Linked DNA regions of Caenorhabditis elegans. The protein of the gene in region 1 interacts with the protein of each later gene in a biochemical or structural test. Each region holds a gene or a part of one and is shown in the gene's direction. Other genes may lie near its edges. The genes, in order: sre-24, dsh-1 and mpz-1.

What was found.
Region 2: the proteins of sre-24 (region 1) and dsh-1 form a complex in vitro, tested with the Caenorhabditis elegans proteins (one study listed by BioGRID).
Region 3: the proteins of sre-24 (region 1) and mpz-1 form a complex in vitro, tested with the Caenorhabditis elegans proteins (one study listed by BioGRID).

Annotation. Positions count from the first base shown.
Region 1 is NC_003283.11:2,880,637-2,889,955, forward strand, and holds sre-24 (Serpentine Receptor, class E (epsilon)), read left to right. Parts: upstream 1-4,074; coding exon 4,075-4,535; intron 4,536-4,969; coding exon 4,970-5,126; intron 5,127-5,171; coding exon 5,172-5,294; intron 5,295-5,415; coding exon 5,416-5,540; intron 5,541-5,584; coding exon 5,585-5,789; downstream 5,790-9,319. Other genes in the region: Intermediate filament protein ifc-1, read left to right, coding at 759-908, 1,191-1,301, 1,345-1,629, 1,930-2,472, 2,529-2,942; srw-4 (G-protein coupled receptors family 1 profile domain-containing protein), read right to left, coding at 6,555-7,089, 7,577-8,145.
Region 2 is NC_003280.10:5,211,461-5,224,525, reverse strand, and holds dsh-1 (DiSHevelled related), read left to right. Parts: upstream 1-3,851; coding exon 3,852-5,370; intron 5,371-5,484; coding exon 5,485-5,560; intron 5,561-5,858; exon of another isoform or gene 5,859-6,062; intron 6,063-6,871; coding exon 6,872-6,993; intron 6,994-7,040; coding exon 7,041-7,281; intron 7,282-7,335; coding exon 7,336-7,511; intron 7,512-7,949; coding exon 7,950-8,186; intron 8,187-8,234; coding exon 8,235-8,402; intron 8,403-8,694; coding exon 8,695-8,861; coding exon of another isoform or gene 8,862-8,903; exon of another isoform or gene 8,904-9,406; intron 9,407-9,481; coding exon 9,482-9,594; intron 9,595-9,876; coding exon 9,877-10,003; downstream 10,004-13,065. Other genes in the region: C34F11.1 (RING-type domain-containing protein), read right to left, coding at 10,629-10,773, 10,822-11,082, 11,128-11,220, 11,264-11,380, 11,468-11,532; C34F11.2 (DUF4440 domain-containing protein), read right to left, coding at 11,789-11,997, 12,050-12,233.
Region 3 is NC_003280.10:10,772,203-10,782,160, reverse strand, and holds the start of mpz-1 (PDZ domain-containing protein), read left to right. Parts: upstream 1-4,034; coding exon 4,035-4,087; intron 4,088-9,313; coding exon 9,314-9,363; intron 9,364-9,737; coding exon 9,738-9,865; intron 9,866-9,958. Other genes in the region: ect-2 (Protein ECT2), read left to right, coding at 1-42, 116-454, 837-1,342, 1,398-1,476, 1,525-1,650, 1,701-2,128, 2,177-2,252, 2,347-2,488 and 2 more.

The DNA of each region.
Region 1 (9,319 bases):
GTTTAAAGAACCCATAATGAAACTGAAGGAAATTGGCATTTGTGGAAAAGTTTGGTATGACCAATCTAATACAGTCTTAAAACTATGACAGTGAATGCCGTAAAGTTTATGATGCGGAGTTTTTTTTTTCAAGAGCAGCTTGAATTGATAAAAAGTGTGAAAATGACAAATTCGGGTGAAACTTGAAATAAATACAATTTGAGTAGATAAAATACAAAACCTTAAACTTTAGCATATTTTTGGTAGAATATACCAGGTTCGTTTGTAACACTAATTTTGAAAGGGAGCAACACTATTAGAAGCTGCAAAACTAGAACAGCGCAGGCAGCCTATGCCTACCTAGCAGTAATCAAAGTTATTAAGGCGAGTTACGCCTGATCTGTAGGCAGAAGGCATGCCTACTCTCTATTATTTTGTATTCCTTCTTGTCATAAAATGAGTTCCTTCGGCCAACAATCACCAATTTTTGCTATTAGGAAGAATTCCTTGCGGCACAGAGTTTCCCAAGTTTTCCACAATTTTTGCGGAGTAATTTCAAACAAATGTCAACTGATAAGACGGGTGGTTAAACCGAGAATAAGTCCGGCGGCCTATTTGTGGGCGGAGACTTTGGTGTAGTAAACAGTTTTCGGGGCGACTATAAACCGCTTGGTATAATCTTAAAACTTTCAGTTTGCCATTAAGCATCTTCTTTTTTTAGTTTTTTTTTTAATTCTCAAATTCTGACGTTTCAAACTTTTGATTTTTCATTTTCAGTCATGTCCTTGTACGGAGGTATTCCGACGAATTTGGTGAGCGGCATGTCATCTGCCGGAGCCATTTGCACAACGCAAATCAGGGATGCTCGTGAGCGTGAGAAGAGAGAGATCGGGCTCTTGAACGATCGCTTGGCTGATTATATCGAAAAGGTATGTGCTTTTAAGAGCGTATGTCCCGACATTTTCCAGATTTCGTTTCTCACACAGTAAGTTGCAGAGCTCGCAAAATGCCGGGATATACTCTATCTTTTTAGTCAAATTCTGATATTCACACCACAGTTCCATCAGTTTTCATAATTTTGCAGGCACTTGCTTGCCGTATTCCTAATAACTGATTAATTTTCACTGATAAGCGTGTTTACTTCCTTTATGTATGTGGTTGAATTTTGATCTCTGCTCTATATGTACCCGTCAATTTACTCAATCCTTTAGGTTCGCTTCCTCAAAGCACAAAACCATGTGCTCTCCCATGACATTGAGATTCTTCGCAGAGGATTCTCGGGCGGTGGCCACATTTCAAGCTTCTTCGAGTCAGAAATTTCGGTAAGTACGATAAATTCCTTAAAAGCTCATCTTCAAAATCCAGAACTGCACAGTCATTTCTGAGCGAATCTTGTCATCGCGCACAAAGTTCCAAGCCGACATTACCGGGCTAGAGGGAGAGATCGAGATCTACCGCAAGAAGTGGCTTGAGGCTCTCAAAGTTGTGAGATCTCATCGCGAGGATCATCATGTCAATTTGGACAAGCTCGCCGAGGTTGAAGCCCAAATCGCGCTGTTCAATCGCAAGATCCGTATTGTTGAGGAGGATGTGCTCAGAATTCGTCGAGAGACTGGTGGCATTCAAAATGATATTGGCAGAATTCATTCGGTATGTTTGATGGGAAAAGAACGAAGCTCACATTTCTGATAGTAATAGACATGTTAAATAGGTCAACCCTCAGCGCAAACCACTATCATGTGCCGACAACAACTCACGGGTTCCGCGCCCTCACTATGTTCACCTCGCTGTGGGCGCGCGCGCGCGGAACCAGTTAGATGTCAGCACTTGATATCAGTTGGGGTCCCAATTCGGGCTTCATTCCATAAACCAACCCTCCAAGTAGGCGGCCTAGATTTAGAGTAGCTTATTTCGAGTGTGCTACTTTTACAAAGTCCTATCTATTTTCAGCAAATTCACGCTGAGATCGCGTTGAAAAACGAACGCCACCACAGTGTCCAGATGCTTCTCCAACGCGTCCAGGTTATCCAAACCGAAAACTCATCCAGAATCGAGCAGGAGCTCATCTACATCCACCGTGATACCACACTCGAAAACCGAGACTACTTCCGACAAGAGTTGCAGGCGGCGATGAGAGACATTCGTGCCAACTATGAAGCGATGAGCATTCGTTCCCGCGAGGACATTGAAATCGCCTACCGCAAGAGAATCGATGAGATCAGAGTTATCCCAGCACACGTACATATTGAAGACTACAGGGAGGAACTGTTATCCATTCGAACGACACTTAGCACGACGCACAGTAGATTAGCGGAGATTGAGAGCAGAAACGCGTGGCTCTTGACGACGATCACAGATCTTAAACACCAACAAGCAGAGGAAGCAAGAATCTTCGAGGCAACCCTGGACGCAAAGCAAGCAACCTATGAACAGTTCAAGGAGCGCTGCACGGAACTCAGCATACAGATGGAGAAGCTTTGCGATCATGAAACGGTTAGTACTTAGGGAAACTGAACTTATAGATTCAAGAAATTTTATATCCGTTTCAGTCGCTACAAGCAGAGCTGGAACGCTACAGAGTACTGCTCAACGGAGCCAACGTGACAACCTATGTGTCCAACTCGACTGGAGCCGCTGGTTACCGATCCTCCACCCACGTCGCCACTACTACAACCACAACGACCAATGGGTATTCTAGTGGATACACGGCTGGAGGCTACACATCCGGAGGCTACACAACCGGAGGATACACTCGTGGAATCACCGCCGGTGGTGCTGTCGGCGGAATATCCACTGGCGGATACATCGGACGGTCCTCCTCCTCACACGGAATATCCGTCGGTGGTAACATTGGCGGTGTCTCAGTTGGAGGTCACATCAATGGCTACCATGCTTCGGGAGACATCAGTGCAGCTGGTAGACACCACGAGAGCTCCTACTCCTACTCTTCGTCCAACAACTAGGCAGTGAATCGAAACTGTTCATTGCCGTCAAATAGTGTTGTTCCATACAATACCAATCAGCTTTTTCTGTTTTTTGTTGTTGTTCTAGAAAACTTTCAAAGCGTGATGGCGATAGAAAGTTTCAAATTCCTGTCTTGTTCAAAAACAAATGTATCAAATAAATTGTTGTCATGTCATTTATGTTATGTAGCCAACTTGTGGGATGTAACGAGGTAACACAGATGTTGTCGTAAACCCATTGATTGCTATAAAAATAACAGTCAATTAGGGGATGCGCATCCACGTTGCGGGTGTTGCGGAGACGGTCAGCAGGTGGAGAGCCGCCTCCAAAAGTGGAGTGGCCGACAGTAAACGACGTAGCGCAAGTGGTGGAAGTTTAGAAGCGAGGTGGAATCATTTCAAGCTCAATTTGTTAGGAAAAAAGAGAGAATTGACCGTAGCCGAGCCCACCTCACAACACAACTTTTTATAACATTCCACATAAGTCAGAGTCACCCTGGCTTCAAAGAACTCTAAAAACTTCTTAAAGGTGGAGTAGCGCCAGTGGGGATTTTGTCTAAATGCACTTAAAATGATCCAAAACAACCAAATATCATAATAAAACACTCCAAAAAACTTTAGATTTTTCATAATTTCCGGTCAAAGTTTTGCCAAATTGCCAAAATTTTGAAAAATTCGAGCTATTGAGGAAATTTAAAGAAATGTCGCATGTTTCGACCCCTGCAATGTTTTATTATAAACAACTTACAAAAAACAAAAAAAAAGAAAAATGTCGAAAAAAAATTTTTTTGGTCCACTTCCAATCTTTTGAGTGGCAAAAACTGAGTAATTGCCACTTTTTAACAGTGAATAAAAAAATTTTCAAAAAATTTTTGAAAAGTTTTATCATTATATTTGGTCATTTTGGGACTGAAGGAGTGGTTTTTAACTATTTCCCCACTGGCGCTACTCCACTTTCAAAATATTGAAAAAACGAACAACACATAGTTTTGTTCAAAAATCCAGTCTTATGATGTTCGTCGCAATGACATGAGTCAAAACAGGTGAATTTACTAGCCTGAAATCTACTAACTATTATATCATTTCCGCATTTATTCCGAGCTAATTTCCTCCTAACTTGCTCCAGCTCCAAATGTTTATAAAAGTCAAAAATTCTAGTATCCCGACCTTCTGGCTCCCGCTTATCTTCTACGACGAGCCATACTGGGGCCAAGTGCTGGTTACCTTGGTTGAAATTTGCCTCTATATTTTCACTGGATACGTGAAAACTGTTGCTCTGAAAACCATCCTAGAAATTCGAATTTTTCATACTAATTTGATGATCATAGGAGGCTCCGCATTTGGAATGTGGTACTTTTTGATTTTTGGGAAGTTGATAACTATAGCATATAGACTTATACCAATAATTGATGATATCGGGCGAAAAGGCGATTTTTGGACGGATGACCCGGAAAAAATGCTCAATGTGCAAGAATTGGATGGAATTTGGTTTCTGATAGTAGCAGGATTTTTGGAATGTTATTTTGGGTATTCAGTGGTTTTTGGAATAATGGGTGTTGTAACAGAAAGAGTGATTGCCTCGCTGTTGATAGAGTGAGTTTTGGAATAGTTTTGAGAAAGGAGTAGTCTCAAAGTATTGAAAAATGTAGTTCAGGTGCTGAAGACTCTAGAAATAATTTTCAAAAAAGCGGGAAAAATATTATTTTCGTAAGAGCCAACGTGGTATAATATTGGTAGGAAATTCAGGTTTCCTGATTGTGAGAAAAAAAATTGACTAGATCCATCGTGGAGAGATCTATCGTGGTGAGACCCCATACCGACCAATCGAAAAATTTTTGGCTGGATATTCAATTTTTCTAGTTACTAGACCTTTCTAGAAAAATCTAGCCACTTCGAGTTTTGTAGAAAGTCCGCGAAACTTCAGGAAAATGTGGCTTAGCGCTTCAAAATTTAATAAATTAATTTTGTGTGCCCCGGTCGAACAGCTGGTTAATTATATTTCTCCAATTAACTACCTATACTTCCAGTAACTACGAGAAAAACACAAATATATTGATACCTGTGGCTATTATCACAATGTCCCAATTTTTTGCAATATCTCTAACCGTTCTTCTGATTTCCAATATTTTTCCAAAACTTGTGCTAACACTTCCCTGGGTGGCTTGTTTTGTCGTATCCATATTTGTAAGTCATAACTACTTTGATAAAGTTTGAAAAAAACATGTTCAGATGTATTTTTATATAAGGGAGATAAATACAAAATGGCTTCAAGAGATGGAGAATCCTCGGAGGACAAGAGTTTTTACAGTTTCTCAAAGATTCCAAGTTAAGGAGAATCTGAAAGCAGTTTACGTAAGTCAGTCGGCTAAAAACTAAAACATAATATGCGATTAGGAGCATGAAGTGTTCAAAAAAATATAAGACATGTTCATAGATAATTCGGAATTTTTTTTTAATTAAAAAATAATTTCAGCTCAGTGAACGTATAGTAGCATCGGTTCTCGGTTCCCTTTTATTATTTGGAAGTGGTTTATTGGCACTATCTTTTAATTTGCTCTCGCCATTTACAGTCCATATAGGAGAAAATATGATGTTTTGGTAGGCCTGGGAAAATTACAAAAAAACACCCTTGAAATTTCCAGCTATCCATTGCTAATTATGCCATTAATAGTGTTTGGGATACCTGCTTGGAAAAAAAGATTCGTCAAGTATTTTCCGGAAATTTCATTTTTCCGTCAAAAAATGGTTATACGAATGTCTAGTGTGGACGTTATTGATGACAATCAGAAGCAAATTATGAAAGAAACGGATACTTATTTTAGACAATTGAAGGATGCGTGGATTTGAAAAAAATTCCAATTTTGCAAGAAACTTTATAAAAAGCATTTTAGTTGCTCTCGGGAGAAAATTGCTGAAAAAACACTGAGATATGTAGTGATGCAAATAAATATTTCATAGAACCTATTTAACACTGGGAACACTTTGCAACAAACCGAACATTTTTTGCACATTTTTTGCACATTTTTTGCACATTTTTTGCACATTTTTCGCACATTTTTCGCACATTTTTCGCGCATTTTTCGCACATTTTCGCACATTTTTCGCACATTTTTTGCACATTTTTTGCACATTTTTCGCACATTTTCGCACATTTTTCGCACATTTTTTGCTCATTTTTTGCACATTTTTTGCACATTTTTTGCACATTTTTCGCACATTTTTTGTGCTCTTGGTATGCTCTTTCTGAGTTTAAATACAAAATTTCAGTAGTTTTCAGTTCAGCGAAAAAAAACTTTTTCTGAGAGATTATGTTGAAAAGTTGTTTTCTATTAGCAACATACTATGAGATGAACATTGAGAAATCATTAAAATTGTTTTAAACGATTGAAAGGCGTAGGCTGAGTCTTAGGCTTTGGCTTAGGCGTAGGCTTAGGCTGAGGTTTAGTCATAGGTGGGGGAAAGGAAGAGATAAAGAAGAAATTCCAGAAAATTCACGAATTTATAAAAAAACAGAAGGTGATTTTTCAAAATAATTTATTGGCTGAAAATTGAAAGTCCATTTCAAATTATCCGCAAGAAGTATTAGTAGCATGTCGGTGGCATTCTTGAACTTTAATGATCTGTAATCATATTAGAAACATAATAACGTATTTTTTGGTAAATTCCCACTACCTGTGTTTTCGACTTTTCTCCACAGAAAATCTCACATGATGTTTCTCTATACTGGGACGACATGGCAAGGCAAATGAATATATGAGAGGATGAATTGAACACTGGAAGAATTTCGGCAAAAACTTGAATCATATACGAAATTGTTAGAATTCCAGGGTTTCCGTGAAAAGCCCCCGCGGTAACATGGGCAAACCCATTGGGAACTTCCAGTATGAAAAATGAGATGGTCACAAAAAGTACCAATTTGGTAGTGTTATCTGACTTTCCACAATCTTCTTTTCCAATATTTTTCCTTCGTTTTGAGGCCTTACGCAGTTCAATTATCAACAAAACAGTGAGAATCGGATCTATAAGGGATGGGAGGGCTTTGATGATTCCGTATATTGAGGTTATGATGCTATGGAGGTGTTCAAGGGAGGTGTCGACCAGAACCATGAAACGGAGCTGGGAAAGGTGGACTTCGTTACCATCGCAACTGAAAATAATTGTTTGACAGAATTGATTATTTTTTTGATTTTGCAACAAATTTCAAATGGATGATAGGCCACGAAGACTTAGAAAAACAACCATTTTTACAGATTTAAATTTTTATTTTAAAAATCACTATAACGGAAACTAAAATAATAACTATTCGAAAAAAAATTGGCGGGAATTCAAATATTATGATTTCCAAAAAATTTTTTCATAAATGTCAAACTTTGTTTTTTTTTAATTTTTTTATTAAATCTTGGCTGACTATGAAGTTCAAAATGTAATTTTTAAAAAATGCCGGGAAGTCAGATTACTATACGTTTTGCAAAAACAGTTTTGGCGGGCTTGTTAAATTTCAAAAAGAAATTTTTAAAAAAATTGTAGAAACAACAAATGCGGAAAATATAAAGTGCACTGAAAAAACACCTGAAATTGGTAATAAGACCAACATTGGTAGGTGCGTAGGCAGGTAGAAGATAGAATGAACCTACTCATAGTCAATATTCCTTCCGTCAATTTTATGTCTTCCAAAAACTACTAAAGTCCACGCAGTATTAACTACCAACACTCCAATAATCGTCCACAATGCCCACTTTGGATTTGAAACTTTGTGCATTTTTGTGCTCATTGGATACTTGACCGATAGAGTTCTATACAGAGCCATCAGTACGGCAAGCCACGATGAGCTCCGTTGAGTGATATCCAGGACGATAACCGGGTAGAGTAGTAGAACAGCATCCCTATAGGTCATAGTTAAAAAACATTCCTGGTTCTTTTTCCGAACTTCACGAATCCAGAAAGGAGAAAATGCGAGAAATGTTAGAGTATGTGATATGATATCACACGAGCAAATTCCAATCATAAGTCGGTAGACTGAATTGGTTCTTAAATGTTTTCTACTCAAAATTGAAAAGTGAACCAGGTTAATTCCAAATCCAAAGAATTGAAGTATCGCCAGAACAAAATTTAATTTTTTTTCAGCCTCATCAAACCAGCTTGGCAGATCTCCAAATTTGGTGAGGTTTGGGGATTGGGTGGTTGATTCAAATGTTTGGTTCATGGTTAATATTTTCTTTTTTTATAATAAGTAAGCTCCATTTTATACACAGCAAAAATATTTTAATGCATTATTCTACCTAGTAAACACCATTTTTGTAAGGGGTATGTTTTGTCTCGGTGAGTATTTTGGTAAAACTTTTATTAAGTGTTACACACATAAGTGACTAAAAAGTAAAGATTAAAAATCTCGAACAGTGGAAATAATAGAAATTGAGGTGTCTAACTCGGAAATCAAAAATTTTTTTACCAAAAAAATGCCAAAACCGGGAATTGCTGTTGATAAAAAATTATATTCTTCATAATGTGTCTTCAAAGCAAATAATTTTTTTTTCTGAAATGCAAGACATTCGAAAAATGCAGAGCTCTAAAATTTTTGAGACGTGTAGAAGTTTTCTGGGGCAACCGAACTTTTGCCACAGCTTTGTAGAAAATGATTGTAGTCCGACGGAGCAGGATTGGCTAGTTGTAAAGCTGCAAGCCCGGGAGGTTTTGGTATATTTTCGTCCCTTGCAGTGATATATACAGATTGCGCCTTTTTGAGTCTCTCTGCCAACCACTGAATTCCTCTCATTCTGTGCTCTCTCGTGCTTTTAATATATCCTTTCCTATCAAGCCAATACATTACAGTTCCATACAGAAACCCGAGCACAACAAGAATTCTGCAAAAAGTTACGACTGTACCTGAAATATAGGGATGTTATGTTCACTCACACAACTAGTTTAGTTGGTTTACTGCAACATTCCATTCCACAACATTTGTCAGAACTGGCACAACCAAAAGTTAGAGAAGTTGGTCTAGTGCCATTAGAGAATGCCACCTGAAGTTGCTTACATTTGTGAAAAAAAAAACCAAATTCAAAGATTCTGGGAACTCACATTTTTCAATTCCAGATCGTCATCTGGAATCTGAAACTCGCACTTTTGCGGTCTTTCTTCATTGTGCACATAGTGTTCTCCCCAGAAGTAGTGGTAATCTCCGTCACTGAAAAAAAATGTAATATGCAACTTCAATATTGCCAAAATATTCCAACCTACATTATTGGAGCTTCTGGAGAGATGATGGTGTTCGTATGAGTTATTGGAGAATAGGAGAATAGGGTTGATGTAATGCTGGAGTGGAATACACTTTCGTAGAAACTGGAAAGATCCTGAGTATTCTCGGATCTGGAAAATAA
Region 2 (13,065 bases), on another chromosome or scaffold:
ATACATGTTAGAGGTTCATGTACCACCTGATCTTATCACTTTAGGAGACTTGAAACGAGTATTGATGAGAACAAATTTCAAATATTATAGAAAAGCATTGGACCCCGATTCTGGATAGTAAGTTCTATTTTAAATTATGAAAAAAAAAACATTTTAAATTAAAAATTTCAGCGAAGTAAAAGCCGAAATTCGTGACGACTCACAAAGGCTCACTCCCTCACCAAATAACCTTTTTGAGCTCTTTCTTTTGACAATTGAAGGATCAACTCATTCGGATGGAAGTAGTGGGAAGATGCGAAAATATCCTTCAGTACCTGGACCGGCGCCTTCAAATCGAAATGGACCACCTATGAATTATCAACATGCTGCTTATCAATTTGATAATTCCAGTGAGTTTTTTCAATCGAAAAATGTTAGAGAGAAGCTCAGAAAATATTCGATAAAATTATTTATAAAAAATGATAATAAATCATAGAAAAATTTAAAAAAAAACTGGCAAGTCAAGTTTGATCGGCGCCCAGAAAAATCCAACATGAAAATCTTTGGCTTGCCAGAAATTTGATTTTTTTTTAATTTCAAAAAATTATGTCAGAAAATATATGAAATTCGGACTTGGCAACTCTCTAGGAAATAAGAACTGTATCGGAATTAATTGGCTCCAAATAATCTAGGAATTTCTTTGGGGCCCAGTAGAAAAAATTTAGCGGAAAACTTTAGCGGAACCCCCAATGACAAAAGAAATTAAAAATTCAATTCATCTAGTAAAATTGTCTTCATACCCTCAAGTCATAAACCTCCAGATGTCTGTTTAATTCTCATTTTATTTCCCTCCCTATGGTCCCCGTGATCCAGTTTCTGGGTCTATTTTGTTTCTTTTTCAAAGAACTATAACTATTGTTGATACATTCAACGCAACCTGAATTTCAGTGATGAGCACCGATTCGGAATCAATGATCTCGGCAGCAATTCCTGGATACTTGAAGAGTGCTGCCTATAATCGACGGTTTCCACAACATTATTTGGGTTAGTTTCTTTTTTGTTTTTTGGAAAACGGGTATATACTCGATTTCAAAAAAAAAACACTTTAAATAGTTCTGCACAATAATCTGTGGGCCTCTCATGCAATCACAAAAGTGCCTAATTACACGTATAGCCAGTTGTCAAGGCTAGTGAGCATTTTTGTGAATGCTTAGATGGCTCAAGGCTTTGTATGGTAAAAAAACAAACATTAGCTTTTGGGGTAATTGAGAAACGGGAAACACGATGAACTTGGTCCCAAGTGTTTCAGAAAAAATTGGAAGAAAAACCTCGTCTCAAAAAGTTCTTAAGAAAGTTCTCGCAAACTTTTACATTGTGTCAGTGAACCCAATAAAACTTCCCCTCATAAAATCTTGATCACATCATTTCAACACTTTCACCCCATCATGTCCTTCCGTTGATTTTCATGTTTTATGTTGGTGTTAATGAGCCGATCTCCCAGATCACTTCTCATAGATCATAAAGAAATGAGAGAGCACAGAGAAAGGACCAATTGTTTCAATTCTATCTTCTGGGCTCATCTTGTTGGCTGGCTGCCAGTCAACCAACCAACACACATTTCAATGAGTGGAGATCTCCTCCTTCTTTGCTTTCATTCAATGTTTATACATACATTTCATTTCATTTCAATTTAATCACACACACACACATACATATCGATGATTTCCCCAGTGTGATTACGTGGAATTAAAATCACATAATTGTGGTTATTACCTGGTAGCTGGGTGTATAAATCAATTGAAATTCTCCCTTTTGTGTACAACTTCTTTTCAAAGTATTTTAGTTCATTGTGTTTTTCTGAAAATTTAATCTGAGGAGCATATTCTCAAATTCTATAAAATTCGTATTTTATAATCTGTTTTAATTTTCCTCCAAATTAGAAATTCATCCAAACTCTCTTTTGTTGAAAATTAAAAAAAAAGTATTTTGTTACTTTTGAAACAAATAGATTATTATTTTCAGGATATCTAGTTGCATTGAAAGGCTACCCAGCTGTTTTATTTCAAAAATTTTTGTTCTGAAATATCTGACAATGACATCTGAAAATGGTAAATTGCGAACAAGTCACAGCTAGTTTAGTTTAGCTTCGACATTAGAGAATAAAAAATTATTAACCAGATACCAAAAATATCTCTTTGCGACCTTAAGAACTGTAGTGTACGGTAGAATTTGTAAGCATTGTTAATTGGAAAAATATGTTCTTTGACATCCAATTCTCGATCTTTTGTAACATTAGTCCTTGAACTTCTCTGTTAGGGGGTCAACCGGGCTCCTTGCTTGCTCCACCACTTTTTGTGAGAAACCGTTCTCTATATCTCTGTGCTCGACGTCAGTGGGAATGAAAACCCGAAGACCGATGAGTTTATCACAGTGTTTATCAAGATGCTTTCCTTCTGTCTCTCTCTCCACTTGAACACTCTTCTCGAGACCTCATACCACTTCACCCCACTTTTAGTTAGTTTTTTTTGTCCGCTCACTTGTCGATTTCTGTGTATGTTTCTACTTGTCACTATTATCGTTTTTGTGTCGAAATAGTCTCTAGTACCCACCCCAGGATCTCATAATATTGCTCTCATTCTCGTTAACACGAAAATAGATATCTGCCTTATAATAGTGAGATCTGTGGTTTTATTTACTTTCGGATATCCCTCACTTGTGATTTCTATCATGATACCTATCGGGATTTTGGGGAGAAAAGACAGTTTGATAATGATCTTTTCTATGCTTTATCCGCTTTTCCTGCCTCCGATCAATGTTTGCTAGCCCATGTGTGTAGGTGGATTCAAACATTTGATTTTATACTTCGTCATCATCAAGAGCCATTGCAACATGTTTCAGTGAGATCAATTTGCAACTCTTTGTTCAACTAGTCATGATGAAAAATTTTCGATCAATATTCTTTAAGCAACTGCCATTTAATCTGACCATAGCAAATTGTGTTTTCCTCTGGATCTCTGCGGTGTTTGACTGTGAGCCATAAGTCAAGTTGCAATTTGTTGATATAAATAACTGATAGTGAGCTCTTGGTTTTAGTTGTCATGTGCCATTTTCCAGCCCACCAGTTGAAGAAATTTGTTAGTTGAGAAATGGTAACACTTATTCTGAAGCTCTTTTGCGAAACGGGGAAAATCTTATTAATTGATAGCCACATAGTTTCGACCGAAACGTATTGAACTATAATTTTAATTTTATTAGATGTATCAGTGAATGTTAACGATTAATTAAATAAAAGTTAAATGAAAGCAAACATTTGTCTTTCAAAATAACATCGAGATTTAAGCGTATAAAAACTTGAGTTTTTTTTAAATTTTTCTACTGTTATGGCTTGAATCTTAACAAACTCATAGACCAATTATATTATATTAAAATTATAATATCTCAATCTTTGCATTTCTCATTATATAGGAATTTATCAATTTTAGATGTCACTATCATAGTCGAGTCAATTGAGATTTAACATGACATATGTCAAGTCCGATTAAAGTTTAACGACAGTGTTTATGGTGTCAACAGGATTATTTTGAGTACCAACTTTCCCGATGTGTCGACTATTAAATTCTCAGTTTCTCTCTAAATTCCCAGCACATGATAAAAGTAAAACGAAAGTATCTGTTTCTAATCCAAGTGCATCATGAGCCACAAGATGGGATGCTGGGAAATTTATGACCCCCCATCGAGGTGTGTTTCTCGTTTCTTTCTCTTCTTTTTATTACCTTCAAGCTTTTTTATTACTTCCCAGCTCTATTACTATCAAAAACTTAAAACCGATTTTCTAGAGAACGACACGATTGCTCATAGCTCACTAGCGAGCAATGAGTATCAAGCTTGGAGCTCGAGATAGAGCCCTTCCATCTCCTTCTGGCTCCTCAAATACCCCATCCACTTCATCTGATATGATTCGCTCATTATTATTCACTTCAAAAGAACGAAAAGTCCGTTCGACATACACGGCTCCTCCACCAAATCGACAACACTCGCCGGGAGTTGTATCACAATTGATTAACAAGATTGAGTTGAAAACGTCACCTACAAATACATCGTCAAGACCAAAAAAGAAGAAAAAGGCTCCACCACTTGCTAAGATTGATGATCTTGATTTGGTTGATGATGAGAAAACTATCGTCTCGGAAGTTGTAAAAAGTCCAAGAAGGAAGAAATATACAGGAAATCCATTAGGAAATTTGAAAATTCTGAACAACATTCTCCCTTCCTCCAAAGCTTCTGATGATAAGGAAAATTCAGGAAGCCAGCAGCAACCAAGTACGGGGAAAAAGTTGAAGAAGAGCAGAAGTAAAAGTCGTGTGGAGCCGGAGTCTGAGGCACCATTTCGATTAAAACGGACTTTAACTGATCTCACAAATAATCATACACCTGCCGGATCCACATGGCGACAGATGGTCTCAAATGCGCTCGGTGGTCCACTTAAAAAACGGCTCAGCGAGGGGGCTCTCCTGTTTCCCGGCACCAGCAAAGCATCAGATGATTGTAACGACGAAGAGGGGGATAATACTAAGACGACAACGAAGCGCAGATTTTTACAACGACGGAAACAAAGCGAAAAAAGTGCAGGAGGCGCCAACGGAAAAGAGTCCGGTGGTGGTTCCGCCTCTTCATCGTTTTTTGGAGCTCTTATCAGATTGTCCCACTCGGCTGCAAGTTTAACGTCTTTAACTTCACTTGGTGGTTCAAAATCTCGGTCTGCATCTCCATCACCATCAAGTTCTCGATCTAATACTAAAGAATTCAAAGAGAATCTGAGCCCACCTCAGCCACCACCACCGGATCTCATTGCACCAGCTGCAGCATTAGCCAGACCAACTTTTTCCCTTGCGGCTCCTGATTCCCCTGTTTCACTTGCTCCGCCATCTAGGGAGCTCAGAAAATCCAAAACGTGTCAAATAACCACCGATCGTCCACCTATTATTCCTAGTATTACTATATCTGAAAGTCGAAGTTTGAACCGAATCGATAGGTGTCGGCCGGTCACTGTAGATGGAAGTGGTCTATCATCTGATTGCCGACCTCTTGTTTCACGAAGAAGCACAATGAGCCGTACAATGTCACTGATTCCAACTAGTCCATCGCTTCCGCCACTTTATGAGGAAGAAACAGCAAGTACAGCGGCAATGGTGGAAGAGGAGAGAGCGGATCGAGCACAGAAGCGCAGAATGCGAAGGTACGGCGGATCAAATACAACAAGTACTTATCAAGGAAGGAAAGATGTTGCACCGGATGCTTCGCCGAGAAGACATCTTATTGGATTTCTACATAGGACGTCACATCTATCCTTAACCTCTGAACTTAGTGCAGATGCATCGTTTTATTTGATCGGTAGGTAAATGATGGCGAAAAATGATGTGATCAAGTAAAGGGTAATAGGTTCAAAAAACAAAATCTTATGAAAATTTGAAAAAGCATCGAATTCTAAGTTTTCTTAAATTCCAGGGCACCGACGACATCTCGAAGAATCAACAATTGGCTCCGAATCCGATGCAAGAGTATTTTCAGATGATGATGATAGGTATGTTTTTTTTTTTAATTTTATAAACATAGGTTTCATTTCATTGAATTTTTATGTAAAGCCAGTACTCTGGTGACAGTGTTCCTTTCAAAATTTAGTGTATTTTATTCGGCAAATTTTTATTTATAAAAAATTAAAGCAAAAGTTTAAGTTATAATAGGGCTACATTCAGGTCTTGCAGGGCTATCTCAAGGAATATGCAACATTGAAAAAAATTTACATTCAAAATATAACAACTCATAAAAACAAAACCAAGTTTACGAATAGGCAATACCCCTTTGAAATTTTAAATTTTAAATATTTTCAAAAATTCGATGGTTTTCATTTTGCCTCTCAAATAGTTAATACCTTTTTTTGTGTCTTCTCTGTCTGTCACATAAAGTGACAAATGACTAGGCTTAAAGCGGGCCTTCATCCCCGCTCACTCTGCCCCCAATGATTTCGCCCTTCCGCTCCTCAAATAGTGAAATGAGCGGCTACATAACTGACGATGATTTCGCAAGCTCTGATGGTAAAGCCTATTATTCAACAACTTCCACTTCAACTTCTGATTATTACTATGCAATTGGAACAGCTCCGCCGAGCAGCACGGGTGCCACAACTCGCGACGTGTCAGTTCATTTATTCTGCGATAAGACACAGCTCGTTAAATTTGAGCAATTCCTGCTTGGCGCTTATCTTCTAGCTAAAGCCTGGTAGTGACTATCACAACAAGCTCTTAGTGTTGTGCACTATTTGAAGGAAACTAATAAAAATTGGGGAGGGGAAGAAAAGGACGTGAGAACGGGTGGAAAGAGATGGATGAGAAGTGGATAATTGCTTTCGATAAATCTTTCAGTTCTTTTCGGATTTTGTGGAACAAACTTCTAGGTTGTAACTTTAAGGAATTTGAACATTTTGTTTTGTGCAGTGCTCCGCTTATATTTAGAATTTCACGGAACACAATTCTCATTAGTTTTCCTTTTTTAGCTAGTGAAAACCATGTAAAATTTTAGTTGATAACGTTCAAAGTTACTCACGAGTTGCAAAAATCACTGAAAACCACAGTAAGATTTTCAAAAAATTATGAAATTTTTATTTACAGTCCAAAATGGAAATTAACCAGTTTTCGCTTATCATAAATTAATAATTCGATTTTAAAAAATTTCTACAGTTTTTTTTTAAATTTTAAAATCATTTGTATTTATTTTGTGGGGCATCGAATATGCAAAGCTTCTTTAAGTTTCTCAATAAGACTCAATTTTCAAAAGTTGGACTGAAAATTCTGAAAAATCTATAACAATTTCAACTATAAAACGTTCAATTTTTCAGAGGCTCTACAACAACCGATTTCACATCAGTATCCCGACAACATGAAAAAATGGCAAAGAAAAAGAAGAATAAAAGAAATTTCCGAAAACCCTCTAGAGCATCTTCGTTTTCAAGTATCACAGGTATGACCTCTTCGAAATTAGCATAACTTTTACCATTCGAATTCCAGAGTCCTCTATGAGCCTTGATGTAATAACAGTGAACCTCAATATGGATACAGTCAATTTCCTTGGCATTTCAATTGTTGGTCAAACTTCTAATTGTGGTGATAATGGAATCTACGTAGCAAATATCATGAAGGGAGGTGCAGTGGCATTGGATGGAAGAATTGAAGCTGGTGATATGATTTTACAAGTCAATGAGACCAGCTTTGAGAATTTCACTAACGATCAAGCTGTTGATGTGTTACGGTAAAAATTATTATTTTTTACTGAGAGCTTATTCTTCAACATATGAATTTTCAGAGAAGCTGTTAGCCGTCGTGGCCCCATCAAATTAACTGTGGCGAAAAGTTTTGAAAATGGGCAAAGTTGTTTCACAATACCAAGGAATAGCAGAGAAGAGCCTGTGAGACCAATCGATACTCAAGCATGGATCCAGCATACGAATGCAATGAGAGGAATGCCAAGTATAGTTGAAGGTATGGTTTTTTGATTGGAAGTGTAGAAAAACTAAACAAAATACCTGCCTGTTATTTGATTGATCTTTTTATTTTTTGCAAAATTATAAGCTGCACTCTCAACCTATTCAACTTCAGGCTGAAATTTATTCAGTGCATTTCTTCGCTACTTTCAAGTTGATGTTTTTCAGACTTCTGATGTTTTAGGATATTTTAAAGTAGAACAACATTTGGAAAGCTTTTTGGAATTTTCAATTTTTTTTTGAAACAAAAATAAAAATATGAAATTTTTCACATCTCTAATTTTGAAGGCTGAATGTAAAATTAAGTCAAACCTTTTTTCTGCACCAAAATTTTGAAAACAGGTAGGCAGGCAGGAAGACAGCCTCGATGTTGTTTTTTGTTCTTCTTCTACGTTATTCTCCTACAAATATCTATTAATTAAAAAATTTTTTCCAGAAAGTGCACCGACACCAATTCCTGGTGAATGGCCTCATGGTCGACCGCCAAGCAGCTCAACGGTGACCTCAAACGGATCAAATGGTCAAAATACAGTAGTCGGCGGCGGAGCTCATATTATTCTTGATATACACACTGACAAAAAGAAGGTTGTCGAAATAATGGCTATGCCTGGCTCTGGTCTTGATATCAAAAATCGAACATGGCTCAAAATTCCGATTCCCATGTCGTTCTTGGGTAAGTTTTGAATGAACGTGTAGAGCCTATTCTAATTCTCAATTTTAGGATCTGATCTGGTCGAATGGCTTTTGGATCATGTTGAAGGGCTTCGAGAACGGAAGACAGCACGAAACTTTGCGGCGGATTTACTGAAATTAAAGTATATTGCACATGTGGTGAACAAGGTCACATTCACTGAGCAGTGCTATTATGTCCTTGGAGATGAGTGTTCAGGTAGGAAAGTATACATTTATTCGGAAAATGTCAAAGTTTTTGTATATGAAGATGGAAGTGGGTCTTTTGAAATCTTTAATGCAATTTTTTTGAACTGAAATGTTAAAAATTTGTTTTAAAAAATTATTTTTTTCAAATTATATTTTTAAAACAAATTTTTCACTGATGCACAAAAATGTCTGCCTGTAATCTCCATAGGAATGCAAAAAAGTTGGTTGCATTCAAGGCTGCCCTGCCTGATTCAAAACATGAAATTCAACCCTTCTTGTTATATCTTCTAAATTACTTCCAGACTATGCCCGATTCCGAAATGAAGATGGTGGACCCAAATACCAATGGACCATCGGAATGAACGGAATGTCTGCTGGCAACGGAAGCTCTGTGATGCTCCCACCCCCACATTTACCTGGAGGTATGGCTGGCCCTCCTGGAGCTTTTAAAGGGATGGCTCCGTCAATGGTAAGCGACGGCGAATCGCGCATGTATGTAATGCACATTTAGAATGTCATCATTTTTCTTCATGTTTATGTTTCATTATGTCTGGTAATCAATGCCAAAATGGCATAATTCAAAATAGTTTCTCTCACAGTACACCATGTACCCGGTATTACAATAAGTTCTAATTTAATATTTTGTAACTTCTAAGTCTCCAATCATGAATCAAAATTTCATATGTTCCCGGTGATTGTAATTTTGGATGTTTTTCCTTTATTTGATTATTCTATTTTTGAATCTGTCCGTCGATTTTTTGTTGCATTTCCTTCTCAAATTCACACGAATTGCGATCTTCTTCACGAGTTCCCCACATCCTTGTCTGAAATAGATGCACCCTATACTAAGAAAAAAAACGTCTTGTTTTCTATTGCATTTGCCCTAAAATTATTGTTTATATTCGATATCATTGTTATTTTCTCGCCCCCTCATTTCTCAGTAGCATGTAAATGTATCAGTCCAATGTTGCCACCCACAAGAATGACAGAATAATAAATAATATTCTGAATCAAAAGAATGTTGTTATATTTCACACCACACGAACATTGCAAAGTGAGAAATATATTATTTGAAAAATATATAAACAGGTAAGTGGATATGCATCAATGCCGGCTTCACCATTCCCACCAGCTCAATTGCAGCAACAGAGAAGAGAAGGAAGTACAACCAGTGGAAGTAGTGGCGGTGGAATTAGAAAACAGTGAGTTTTTCCACTATAAACATACAAAGAAATTTTTGTATTTTGTAAAGATATATAGCTTTTTTAAACATTTTCAAGAAAAAAATAAAATTCAAAACCACACCAAAAGAACTTGTTTCTTAAGTTGGAAAAAAGTGAAAAGTGTGAGGCACTGGAAATTTAAAAACTTTCGTCTGAATTTCTCTGACTTCAAAAGTTCCAATTTTATATAACACGGTAGACTCTAACATTTTTGACATAGTTTTTCGAAATAACTCCCAATATAATTTTAAAATATTTCAGACGAGTTGTTGTTCTTCCCAGAAAACCATCATCGTCTGCAAATGTTCCATTTGATGATAGTTCTACAATCTATGAAGAATCAAATAATTCATTTCTTATGGCAACTGGACAAAGATACGAGTATTAACTGTTAATATTAATTCAATGTTTTGGTGCTTACTTTTTGAGCTGTATAAAAACTGTTATTTATTCAAGATTTTTGCTTATCCGCCGCCTTCTTAATTCTTGTCGCGAAGGCGGTTCAGTGGAATGCTTATTTATAAACTTCATTTATTAACAATACTTTATTTATATATTATCATTAGCAAATGGAGTTCACTTGAGTAAATTCAAAACTGATGTTTCTTCCACAATTTCCTCCTTATATAGACATCGGATATGACTTTTCACGTAAAGGTAGCAAAGGTTGTTCCACGGTGTTATTGGCAGTTCAATTGCATCCTTTTGATCCTAGAGTTCCTGTGTGAAAGGGTTTCCTTTGTTGTTGTAGACGTTTGGCCATGTTGGAGTTGCTTGCAGGGTGGTTCCTTAAGACGTGTCGCCGCTCGGTGGAGTGAGTCGAGTGCCATAAGCCGGTGATATAGTCCTTTTATATTCTAAACAGAAGTTAGTCGAGAATAGGAGAGGTTCATTCTGTCCGTATTTGCGACAAGTCTTACTAAACCCCATGGAAGGCTACGCGTAAAATTATAATCCTGTACAATTAAAAAAAAACTTCAGTAACAATAATTTATTGTATTCATGACATAAGTCTATGGACGGTTTTGCTTCTGCCTTTTCAGAACTTCAAGAGTTGAAATTTTGACAACATCTGGGTTGTCTCTGTGCAGTTTCCATTCAAATCGACATAGTGGGCACGCCTTCGATGCAGACGTATCAAACCATTTTTTCACACATCTGGAAACTGCCTAATTATAACATCTTCAATATCTCATATTAACTCACTTTTTACAGCCAATGACTTTGAGGCATTTAGGACATCCTCTCGGATCAACGGGCTTCTCAAAGCAAATGGTGCATTCCGAAGTTTGTAGAGCACTTCCTCGGTGACGTTGATATGGTGCAAATGAAGTTGATGCCGAAGTATTGGTGAATGGTGGATGACGAGTTGCCGTCGAAGTTGTTGTAGCACTCCGTGACACCGGCCAGATACGAATATGTGAGGAACCGCCTTGTGCCACTGGAAGAGCTCGCCATGAGCCTGATCTAAAATGTTGTGTTTTTTATATTTTAAGGCGTAATTAAGATAACCTTAGAACTAGAGCTGGTACCCGTGCATTCTCGGTTGACGGATGTGTGGTAGCCTGAGCTACTGGCTGCTCTGTGGAAGCCAACGGAGCAGATCTGAAACCAAACATCATATTCATCTTTCGAATCAAACGTGTACCTTGATGGCTCCAGCTGCCGTCGGTGGTGTCGAATGGGCCCCAACACGAACTCACGTTCAACGTCCTGTGCGTACCGCGAGTCATCGCGAACTTGTTGGAAACGAGCAAACTCAGCTCTGTAAAAATTGAATTAAATTTTGAATACTTTCTTCAAATGAACAAGTTCTGAGATTTAGGCGATTTGATTGAAACAAAAAACTTACAATTGAGCGTTCACATCGATTTCAGTTAAATTGATACTGACTTCTATATTCAAGTTTGTCGACATCTTTGCAAGTTGACTGATAAAAATTAGGAATGAATGAAATAAAGAAACTTGGAAGTCATTTTGCTTTTTCTCTTACTTTTGTTTTTTCAAAGAAAAGCCCGTGGAAATTATATTGATAATTTGTTCTTTTACTTTCATTATTCATTTATTGTTTAAAAAATTCTAGCAATTTTCCCTCGAGAGAAATGAGAACGAACACGGAAAACGAAGCCAGTATTTTATTGATTTTAGGCCATTCGACAACATTTATTGAAGATCAAGGGCAATTTGTAATTTTTCCCGATTGAAGTCTCCATGGACTGTCCTTCTCCTCACGCGAAATAACGAGATCCACAATATTCTCTCGAGGTCCGTCTTGATGTGAAGCTGTGAAGCTGATTTTTGAATCATTTCCATTGAAACTCGAGCATTTCGGAATCAACGGCTCGGGATTCGGAGTGGCCAAATGTTTTTCGACAAACGGGGCTGAAAGTATGCATATTAACTTTCAGATATTCCAGGGTCGAAAAACACGTACCTTTATTAACAGTATAACCGCATCCGAAAAACTGAAAATCATGCGTGAAGCAGTCAGAAAGTTTGTCGCGGGATCCAGCTGCATTCGCCAATTTCGAAATAAAATCCTTGACAATTTCGTTTGAAGCCTTGGGAAGTTGACTCAGTCGAGCTTTTTGTGTGTTGAAGAGGCGGAGAACGAGCATGTTAGCTACGCAAACTTCGCAATGATTGAGAATATTGAAATTTGGTGGGGTCGCGTCAAATTAAAAAAAAATAATAAAGGGAAAATGAATAAATTTACTACTAGTACACGTTTCAACAACGTGTCAAATACATTAATTTTTGATAGAAATGTTGTTGCTAATATGACGAAATTTGTGTCGCGAGAGCTTACTATTAGCGTTTTTGATATACCGGGCTCGTCAGTTTTAAATGTTGTGAATCTTTGGTTTCTGTGTGCCTAAGCCTAAGCCTAAGCTTTTTTTTTCCAAATTGTTTTATTATTCATGGAATTATGTCATTTTTGAATTTAATTAAACTTTCATTCTTTTTAGGCTTACAAATCCCTTCTAGTTTGTTTATTGTTTCTTTTCTAAACCTAAAAATGTAAAAAGGTCCCACATTAAAAAAAATTACTTCAAGCACCCTACTTTGATAAAGCACTTCAAAAAACAATTTCAGTTTTTTTTTTAATTTTATAGGGCATGTCTTAATCATCCGTGAATTTATTTAGCTCAGTTTGCATTATTACCCAAGATATAAGTGTTTTTAGGCAATTATGCATGATGTAGAATTGAACTCTTTTTTATTTATCCGAGCGAAGGAGCTGGCTGAGCCTGCTGGTTTTTTTTTTGAAGAAACCCTGGTTTTGAAAAGGTAACAGTGCAAAGCTAATTTATGCAGACTCTTTATTGCATAAAAAAGCAAAAAACAAAACTTTTCAGACCAATAATTGAACAGTCATCATGAGAAAAGGAAATTTGTTGGGATTTTTCAATTCGATACTCTTCTATTATCTAAAAATTGTAAATACCA
Region 3 (9,958 bases), on another chromosome or scaffold:
ACATTAGCAGTGTCTTCTAATCAAGTTCACGTCACTAAAGAGGTAATTCAAAGGATTTAAAAATCAATTTTCAAAAAAAGAAAATTAAATTAAATATTCATTTCTCAATTTACAGTGGTTCTGGGTAAGCCTGCACCGTGGTTGCTGTGCTATAGAGGATAACTTTGCTCTTCCAACTGGCAAACTTCACAGAAAACCACTGGAAAGCAGTAGTGTCAGTAGCCCGATTGGAAAATCTCTTCGCTCCCAAAATTCGAGATCTTTGTCATCAATGCGTGACTGTAGTGTTGAAGGACCAACTTCGTTGAACATGACACCAGACTACATATACTCGAATGATGATGTGGAGAACTCGTGCAAATCGCCACGTCAACCATCGAAACGGCTCAGAGTTTGTATGGAGATGGTGGAGACGGAGAAGAACTACTTGTCACTGTTGAAGCTTGTTGTCAAGGTTGGATATTGACTTATCGCGAGGTGCAAGCGCGCTCCACGGCTAAACGAAATAGCTCCGCCCATTAACGTTGGGTCTCGTTAGGTTTTGGCAAGAAAAACAGAAGTTTCCAAGAACTTTTAGCGTTTTTGGTTGTGTCTTCTGTTGCTTCCATGATTTTTGTGTCGAAACTGAAACTATTCGTTTTTCAACTAAAACAATAGAAAACATTACAAAAAGTTTTTAAAAAATGCTTGTAAACATAACAACTTACCTCTTTTTTTTGGTGCCAATTCCTAACGATACCCAACGTTTGGGGGCGGATCGTTTTTCATTTTGCCTTGGAGCGCACTTGCACATTGATTTCAAAAGTCTCCATTTTCTGATATGAATATTTTTGCAGTTCAAAGAAGCTCTGGAATGTGAGATCTCACACAACGAGTTCATGTCAAGATCCGATGTCGCCATGATGTTTGGAAAGCTGGATCCGATTCTCGAACTTCACGAAAGGATTTTCGCCAGACTGACAGTAATGTCAAACGAAGCGAATACACTTTTGACGGTCGTAAATGGAAAAAAGAACGATGATAAGAATCTGGACTTTGCACAAGTGTGGATTGATGCAAAAGAAGAAATGAAGAAGGCATATCCTCAGTACATCAACTCTTATGACACAATCAAACGGTTATTCGATAAACAGGATCGAGAGAATTCTAAATTTCACACATTTTGCAAGGCAAAAGAGAGTAATCCAGAGTTTCATCGGCTCAAGTTGACGGATTTGATGGTGAAACCAGTGCAACGTCTTCCAAGTGTCATTCTTTTACTCAAAGAAATGGCAAAGAAATCCGATTCAAAGCTGAAGAACAATGCTGAAGAGGCCGCAAAAGCGATTGACGAAGTTTTGAAGTGTGTACTTTCAACATAATTAAATTTTATTTTTCTAAATTCATTTGTTTTTCAGAACCGCCAACAAAACTCGTGAAAAGAATGACAACTTCATTTCCCATCTGAGCAAGTTCACTGACATTGAAAATGTTCCAGTAAGCGCGGAAATTTGTTGAACAGATGTTAAAATAATTTTTTTACAGCCAATTTTGGTGGCTGCCAATCGAATGTTCATACGAGAGTTGGTCGTTTCTCCGATTGCAAGTACGTCGCCAGGTCTACAGCAGTTTGCGAAAATGAAATTATTTTTATTTCATGACGTGCTAATTGTAAGAGAGTCTTTAAATAATTATTTTGAATAATAATTCTGAAATTTCAGATCACGAAAATACGCAGCGAGAAGAATACAATGCAACGTCTAGCTCGTCACGCGTCGTTTGCCAGTTTACATTCGAGACAGCGTCGCCCCTACAGGTACATTGACCAGATACAGTTGAACACGATGCGTAGTGCATTCCGAATTCGTGCTCCCGACGAGATTGCGAAGTGTCTGGAGTTGCAGCAGCAGAACGGAAGCACAAAGCCAAATGTGTTTGTATGGTGCCTGATTCATCGTGACGAGCAAGGTGGTGACATTGACACAGTCTTCGAATCGAATGATGATGAAGAGGTTCGAGATTTTCTCGACGATATTCATGTGAAGATCTTGAGTGATTGTGGGAGATTCTTCTACTCGTCGGATCCATCAGATATGAATGAGATCAACGATGCGATGGTTTCGGATATGACAACTCGATACTTTAGAAAGTAGGCTTATTTCAGGTTTCAAGTCTTTAGAAAAAATCAAAATTTCAGTCTTTGCGGAGCGAAACCACAATATGGACACGGCAGTCAGATGAACATTACGGTCAGTGAACGATCTACACAAAACGTGAGAAATGAAGTTTGATACATGAGTGGAGAAATTAAAATTGTCCACAGTGTTACACCTAACTTGAATGCTTATATATAAACTTTTATTACAGGAATGGTCACACAATGAGTCGTTTATGCCACCACCACAGTCACAGAGTCGAATGCGACGAGCGTTCAGTAATGCTCAACTCACACTTGCCACCACGCTGGGCTTTGGCAGAAATCAGAGTCGAAATAACTTGGGACAAATTAGTGCGTTTTTAGAAAATTTATTTTTTTTTCTTCTGAAATTGTATTTGATTCACTAATTTCAGACGAGAACACGACATTTCTGCAGTCTCCCAGAGTTTCGTGTGATCCAGCAGCTCTCGCAAACATGACGTCAGTCGGCGGATTGCCTGGATGCCAAAGCGAATCTGAATCGACGCCAAAGCGAGGAATTCGGTACGTCAATGCACCCCACAGATTTATCGGAGACAACACGTTTTCGAGATCTGTCCGAAAAGTCAATTTGAAGATCTACGGTTTCAGGATGTGGCACCGTGTCAACTAGAAATACTCGTAGTTTTATCGAAGAAAAACTTAACAATGATGCTCCTTTGTTGTCACGTTTTTCTTCGAGAAAACCACGAAAATTTCTAATTGGCACGGTGCCAGATCCTGAAGCCGTAGATCTTCACATTGTAGATATTCTTTTAGTAGATCTTCTTTTAGTAGATCTTCTTTTCGGCCGGATCTTGAAGGCGTGTTGCCTCATTCATTGACCATATTTTCCCATGAGTTAATGCCAAATTGACACTCTACATCTAACATATCCTGTTAGTTATTTCAGTTCTCGCCTCACCTCGACAACGTTCCTCGGCGGCCGACACAACATACTCGGACGAAACACGTCGATGCGCCGTCAGGCTACCGGATTTGCTCATTCGGAAAAGGAACTACCTCGCTCAAAAACATCTTCATATCGTGTCACCGATATCTGAAACTCCCCGCACCCGTGTAACTGATAACTCGAATCTCTCCTCCGACTGATAAATAATTCGTTCTCACTCTTTTCCGAGCTTCATACCTCCAGATGCTCACCGGTGTATTTTGATGGTTTATTTCTTGCTTGCTCTCAGCTCCCTCCCTCTTACATTTTTCATGTTTTCACCCGTAGTTTTTCATTTCGTTTTTGTAATTACAACAACCGAAACTACCGTAATCACCATCCACAACTACGACCAGATCCTTTGTATCATACTGATTTACCATTTACCACAGGTGTATTTTTCCCCCCAAATCGTCATTATCATCTTCCTGTCCCCGAGGCTTGTGTGACCATTGCTCCTTGACTTTTATTATTTCCCCGAAATCACTTGTATGCCATTCTTATCCGATACCCCTTTCCCCTTTTATTCTCACCATTCATTTGAATGGTCATTCCCCCACAGTAACGTTACGATTACTTTTTTCTTTTTTTTTGAAAATTCAAATTTTATTCTTGTTAGAAAATGCGATAGGGGGTTCAAATGAAATTACACCCTACTTGTCTTTAAGTCTTTGAACTCTCTAAAAACAAAGAAACAAAGATGAGATTAGTGAGAAAAAGGAAACATGGGCGGAGCCTTATAGATGGCCCCTGGAGATTTCATATCTTGGAGCACATGCCGCTTGGCTTTTATTCATTCATTCCGAAACACGTCTTGGCCAGGATCCTGCATATTAGTATATTTTAAATTCAGATTTTTAAATTTTTTTTATCTTCTTAAAATTCGAGCTAATTAATTGTGATTCAGAATCTGGAATACATCATTGAATGATCGATGAGCCAGAGGATATAATAGCAGTTGAAGATGAAGCCGAAAGAAGGTAGGTCTGAAAAGAAAAAATGATTCGAAAGCGAGAAAAAAGATGTGCGTCTTTAATAAGTACAATAACCCGCAGATTCCCGTTATTTCGATAATTTCTCGGATTTTTCCACACATTCTTGCTAGAAAAATATTTTTTGTTCAGAAACAAAACTGAAACTTCTGGTAAAAGTGAATAAAATCGAAGAAAAATGGAAAACGCCGCAGCTGGGTTACTGTACAATTTAAAGGCGCGCACACTTTTCGCGCAGCCTCCAAATTTTATTGGGGAAAATCGCTAAAATTCGCAATTGGATAATAAGAGACTGTTTGAAAAACTTTCTCATACATTTTATCAGTTGATTTGGGGCACGATCGCGCTCCACTGCCAAATTAAAACGCCCCGCCCCTAAACGTTGGGTCTCGTTAGGAATTGGCGGCAAAACTAGAAATTCGAACATTTTCAGTCAATTTTCGCCAGTTTCGTTTTTAGGCTGTTTTTTTAAAATTATTTGTATGTTAAAATTGATGAAATAAAGCTGGTTATAAGTTTGGTTATAAAAAGCTGCGGCAAAAAAAGGGGGAAAATATATTTTAATAGAACGAAGGAAATGCAATGTCTCAATAATATAGTTAGACCCTTCATTTTGTACTCCATTTTTGGTGTCCCCCCGTCCAGAAGGAGACGTCTTCCTTTTCTTCTGCTTCTTCTTCTAATTATGCATCTCCTCTATACTTTTCCTCATCTTTTTTCTTCTTCGTTTTTTTCCTTGGTCCCATCTTTATTCCAATGTTTCTTTGTGTAGTACCACTACCATATGTTGTTCTTTTAATACACTTTCCCTCCTTTCTTGCCTCATTTTTCTTCATATTATAGACATGGTGCATCATGACTTGAAGCATCATGCACCCCCAAAAAAGAAAAAAAAGTAAACTAAGTCGAAAAAGTTTTCGAAAAAGCCCTTTTCCCTGATTCCTATACAAATAGCATTGTGCCAAGTGGACGTTGTTTGGTGGGAAAAAAGGTGCATAGAGAAGGGCGGGGGTCCCGGAGCCGGCTCAATGTTACATCCGTTTCGGAAGAGTTGAAGTAGACAAGGAGAAAGATGAATTTAAGGACTCTTGGGAACTACGCTAGAACACCTTTTCGCTTTTGTTTTCGGAAGTATAAAAAAAAACAGAAAAACTTAAAAAAAATAGAAACTTGATTTAAGCATAATGATTTTTCTGTACACAGAACTGTTATGGGGTTATTCAAGTAGTGTCGGAAAATTAAAAAGTGTAGAAAAATTACGTCACAACCTTATTCAAGTATATAAAAACATGTATTTAAATACATTTGTGACGTCACAAATGTATTTTAATACATTTTGCTACATTACTTGAATAACCCCATTACTCCAAAAATACGGTACCCGGTCTCGGAACGATAATTTTTTTGTTAATTTCAGACTGGTATGCGTCTTTAAAGTGTACTGTAGCCACAAACTTTTCTCATTGCAGATCGATTTTTTAACGCCTGTAACAATGTATATATGGGAAAGAAAAGTATTAAAAATCGATGAAAATTCCGCAGCAACAAATGTTCGAATTTACAGTACTTTTTAAAGGCGCATACCTTTTTGAATTTGAAAAAATTGTCGTGTCGAGACCAAGGACCGTATTATTGAGATAACAATCCGAACGCTTTGGCATCGGGGCTCCGGGAGCTTACCTGAAACCTTTCATCATCTGGAAGAAAACCTAAACTTTCCCGTTTTCCTTTCTGGAAGAACAATATTTCCGAACAGTTGCTTCATTGTTTATAGTTTTGGAAAATAATATTATAAGTTGCCGTATCTTTTTGTTTTCTTTCAACAAAAGATTCAATAGATTTGATTTAGGGTTGTCATACTATTTTCTACCATACGGTACCTACAGGCTTCACCCAAGTAATTAGAATTTTCGCATTCCTCTAAGCTTGGCTACATTTTTTTGTGAAGGCATTTTACAGGCGAGTGACGGGTGACATTCTGTCGCGCCTCAGTAGAACGCGAAGACGGGTGTTTCCACCTGAACCTTCTCACCCAATATGTAACTAACTTCTCAAAAACCAATCCTGGCTTCCACAGGACATCGATTCTCACCAGTTTCTCACCCGTATCAATCGGATAAATCTGGTCTTTTCTTCTTCTTCTTCTCAAGATGCTACTAGCCACCAACACAGAGCACGCCTACTCTTCCTCTCCGTCCGTCTACTCCGCGGCAGCTCCTCCGCCGCCAACTCCTTTTCTTTTCTTCATCTGCTACTTCTTCTTCTTCTTTTCGTCTTTCTGCTCCAACGCAAGACGATAGCTCAATTATCCACAAACACACACACACACATGGAGAGAAATACACACACACAAATGCATCACATTCGCACTCCGGGGAGGAATAGAAAAATAGACGTCGTGTACTTCCAGATTCTGGTTTTTTCTGATTTATGACAATTTTTTCCATTTCTGTCGTACAGTATTTTGTTTAACATTTTTTAAAAATATCTATATGCTGTCAGCACTTTTCATTCCGCCTCCAAGTTTAATAATTCCCCAAAGAACTTTTATCAATTATCCCTAGAAATTTGTTCTCTACAACTAATGTCGGCGTAACAGTCATGCGTAGGCGTTTTCGGCGTGAGGCAGGCAGAGGTCACCTTCAGGTTTGCCCTAATTTTGGATTTTTTGGCCTATTTTTCGAATTGCTTTTTTCCAACAAATGGATAGTTTTCAAAATGTGAATTTTAAGTAAAGATTTTTTTGAAAAAAAAAGAAGCTGGTCGCCTCGATGATTTGAGACCTTGGATAATCAGCTCGAAACTGGTAGATTATGTTTCGATATGAGTTCGGTTATGGATGGTTACTGTACACTATTGCTGGAAAACCGGACGTACACTTTACGTACACCAAAATCATGCCAGTCTTACTGTACACATTTTCAATATTCCAGAACATTTTTTTCTTAAAATGCACACAATTCTACTGAAACTTCTTGGAAGACGAACCTTCCATCCATCATGCCCAAGTGTTTATTCTTCCATTTTTCGACCTCCTCATCTTCCATCTTCTCCGCCTTCATTCCTTCGTTTTTTTTCACATTTCCACTTTTTTTCTTCATATTTCATTTTTCGTCTTTTCTTCCTAATCCTCGTTTTTCTTTCATTTTTCAATGTCCCTTTCCCTTATTTATTGTTTCCAATATTTCCAACAACAGCTCCATTGGACATTTCAAATTTCAAATGTCCGCCCGTTCATTTCTCACTCAACCTTTCCGGCCGTAGGAAAAATAAAGATGAAACTGGACATGCAATTCGTAGTTTTCTTTCGTTTTATTGATGTCTGGACATGTTCGGTTTCTTTTTGGAGAACCTTTTGAAATATCATTTTTTGGAAAAAAAATTCAAAAAATAGTAGCACCAATATTTTAACACCATATTGCTCGAAATATTCGAAATATTATAAACTCTCATTTTCAAATTTTCTTCTTGGTGCTCTTACGATGCTCTATCAAATGTCTGCCGTCTCTCCCAATCAAACAATATTTCCATCTATCAAATGCTGGTCATTGACAACGATTGAAAGATTCAATGAGCTTCAGCTTCTTCTTTCAATGTTATCTTTTCAAATTGATTTTTCTCAGGCGTTTCAATTTTTTCCAAATTCGTGCCTACATTTTCTAATCAAAACTCACAAAAGCATCGAAAATAGGCGGTAGGCAGTCACATAGGTAGGCAGGCATAAAGTAGGTACAAATTGGAGATTGAGACTACGTGACTAGACCCGGATCAACTAAGAATTTTATTTTTAACCTGGTTTCCGCCTCAAAGTGCTCCTCGGAGCAATGAATCGGGTTTTGTGTTCTCATACTTTACACATTGGCGGATCACTTTTAAATTTGTTTGTAACTTTTTTTTGAGGAACCGGAAATTTCCGAAATTTCTTTTTTTTAAATAGCCACAATTATCTTCTGTACTTACAGAGTTAAGCCAAAAATTAACTTTTGATAATTTTTAAGTAAACATTAATTTTTGGATATTTTCCTTTGAGTTCCTTTTTTGGCCCGAATATGCAATATATAACAAAGAAAATCTAAGAAAATTAGATTGCAAAACTTCATAAAATGCGGAAATTGAGTGGGCCAAAGTTTGGAATTTCTAGCATTGGAGACAAAGCATTGGAGACAAATATTCCAGAGCGAATTTTCAGCTAGATAAGTCTTTTTTTCAGTAATTTTTGATTAATGAAACTCAATAAAAAAATGGTCCAGCTGAAAGTTCTCCCCAAAAATTTTCTCACCGATTCTAAATTTTTCAAATTAAGCCCCGCCAATTTTTGTTTTTTTTTAATTCGAGCTTCTGGAGCCAAAGCTACCTATCAAACTTTGACTCTAATTCTTAATCTTCAATTATCAATCTTGAACATGTACCAACCGAGACATGACTGTCACAACAAATCGTGGGACTTCTCCCCTCTGTGAAAGCATGTGGTTCACCGGGAGCACACACAGGGGCTCTTCAACCCTCTAAATCTATTGTTTTTGTGAATTGTGTGTGTGTATGTGTGTGTGTGTAACAAATATCTTTCTGAGATGGCCCCGCGGGCTCCAAGGAGCCAACGAGAGCCCAATGATCTTGGCTCTGATTTTTTTTGGAACATAGTTTAATTTTGGGGTAAAAATAAAAAGAAACGTGTAATTTTAATTGTTTCACTTCTCTGACTGTTTAAATAAATTTCTCCTACCTCTCACACTTATGCTTTTAAGTTGAGTAGCTTTTTAGAAGTTTTAATTTCTGAAAAATTGACAAACATTCGGAATTGTTTCGTAATAGGTAAATTAAATTGCCATATTACAAATATGCCAATTCATGGTTTTTACATTTTCAAAAAATTAAACAGTTTGGCCATCAAAAATTATTGGCCTCCTCTGTCCATAAGAATACACCTTTATTTTTTTTTTTTGCTGTGCAACAAACTCGTATATTCACAATTTTATGTTTTTTTTTGCTTAAAGGCACAAAATTATTTATTTTGATTGGTCTAGCCGCAAAAATTTATGGTAGCGACCATTTTTATATTCAAAATAAAATCTTTAAAAAACGAAAATCTTGCAAAAATCAAGAAAATTTGATAAAAGACAACCCATATTAAGATATCCGTTTTTGAAAATCACGATATACGCTTTTAAAAAAAATCTTCTCCAATTTCATTTTAAATAAATAACTAAATTTCAGGTGCTCAACAGGCAGCACGCGAGGCCTATGGCCGATGCCGTTACAATCCGGTAAGTTTAAAAACTTTTTTGAAAATTGGCAAAAATATGAAATTATTTAAGTTTAAATACCTATTGTGCGGCCCTGTGCACACTAGAATTTTTATCTATATAATTTCATTTATGGGGCCTATCTGCCGGTATAGTGCGACCTACATTTTTCCCGCTTGCGCTGTAAATGTAAATGAGAGCCATTCTAGTCCCAAAGCCTAGCGGTTGCTCAGTGGTCCTCTTGCAATTGTGAGGACACAACAATACCATTTCAGATAGTCTTGAAATTCATAGCTCCCTAAACCAATTTTTTAAAGATGGTATAAAGTTTCAAAAAAGCAGACAAAATAATTAAATACAATTTAAAGCATCAATTAATCATATAAAAATTTCAGAGGAAGAACGGATACGTGAAGTGCTGCGTGAATTGAAATCAAGAAAAGAAGGCGGTGACGTCAAAGAGGATATCGAGAGAATCGAGAGAATCCTCAAAGATCCACTTTTTAAACAACTATCCCATCAGGTTAGTTGTTCCTCCCGGCTTCCTTCATGTTCTTGTGTCTTTAGAAACAGCTGTTTATGTTAGAAACAAGCTTAGTTAGCTTATGTAAACTTT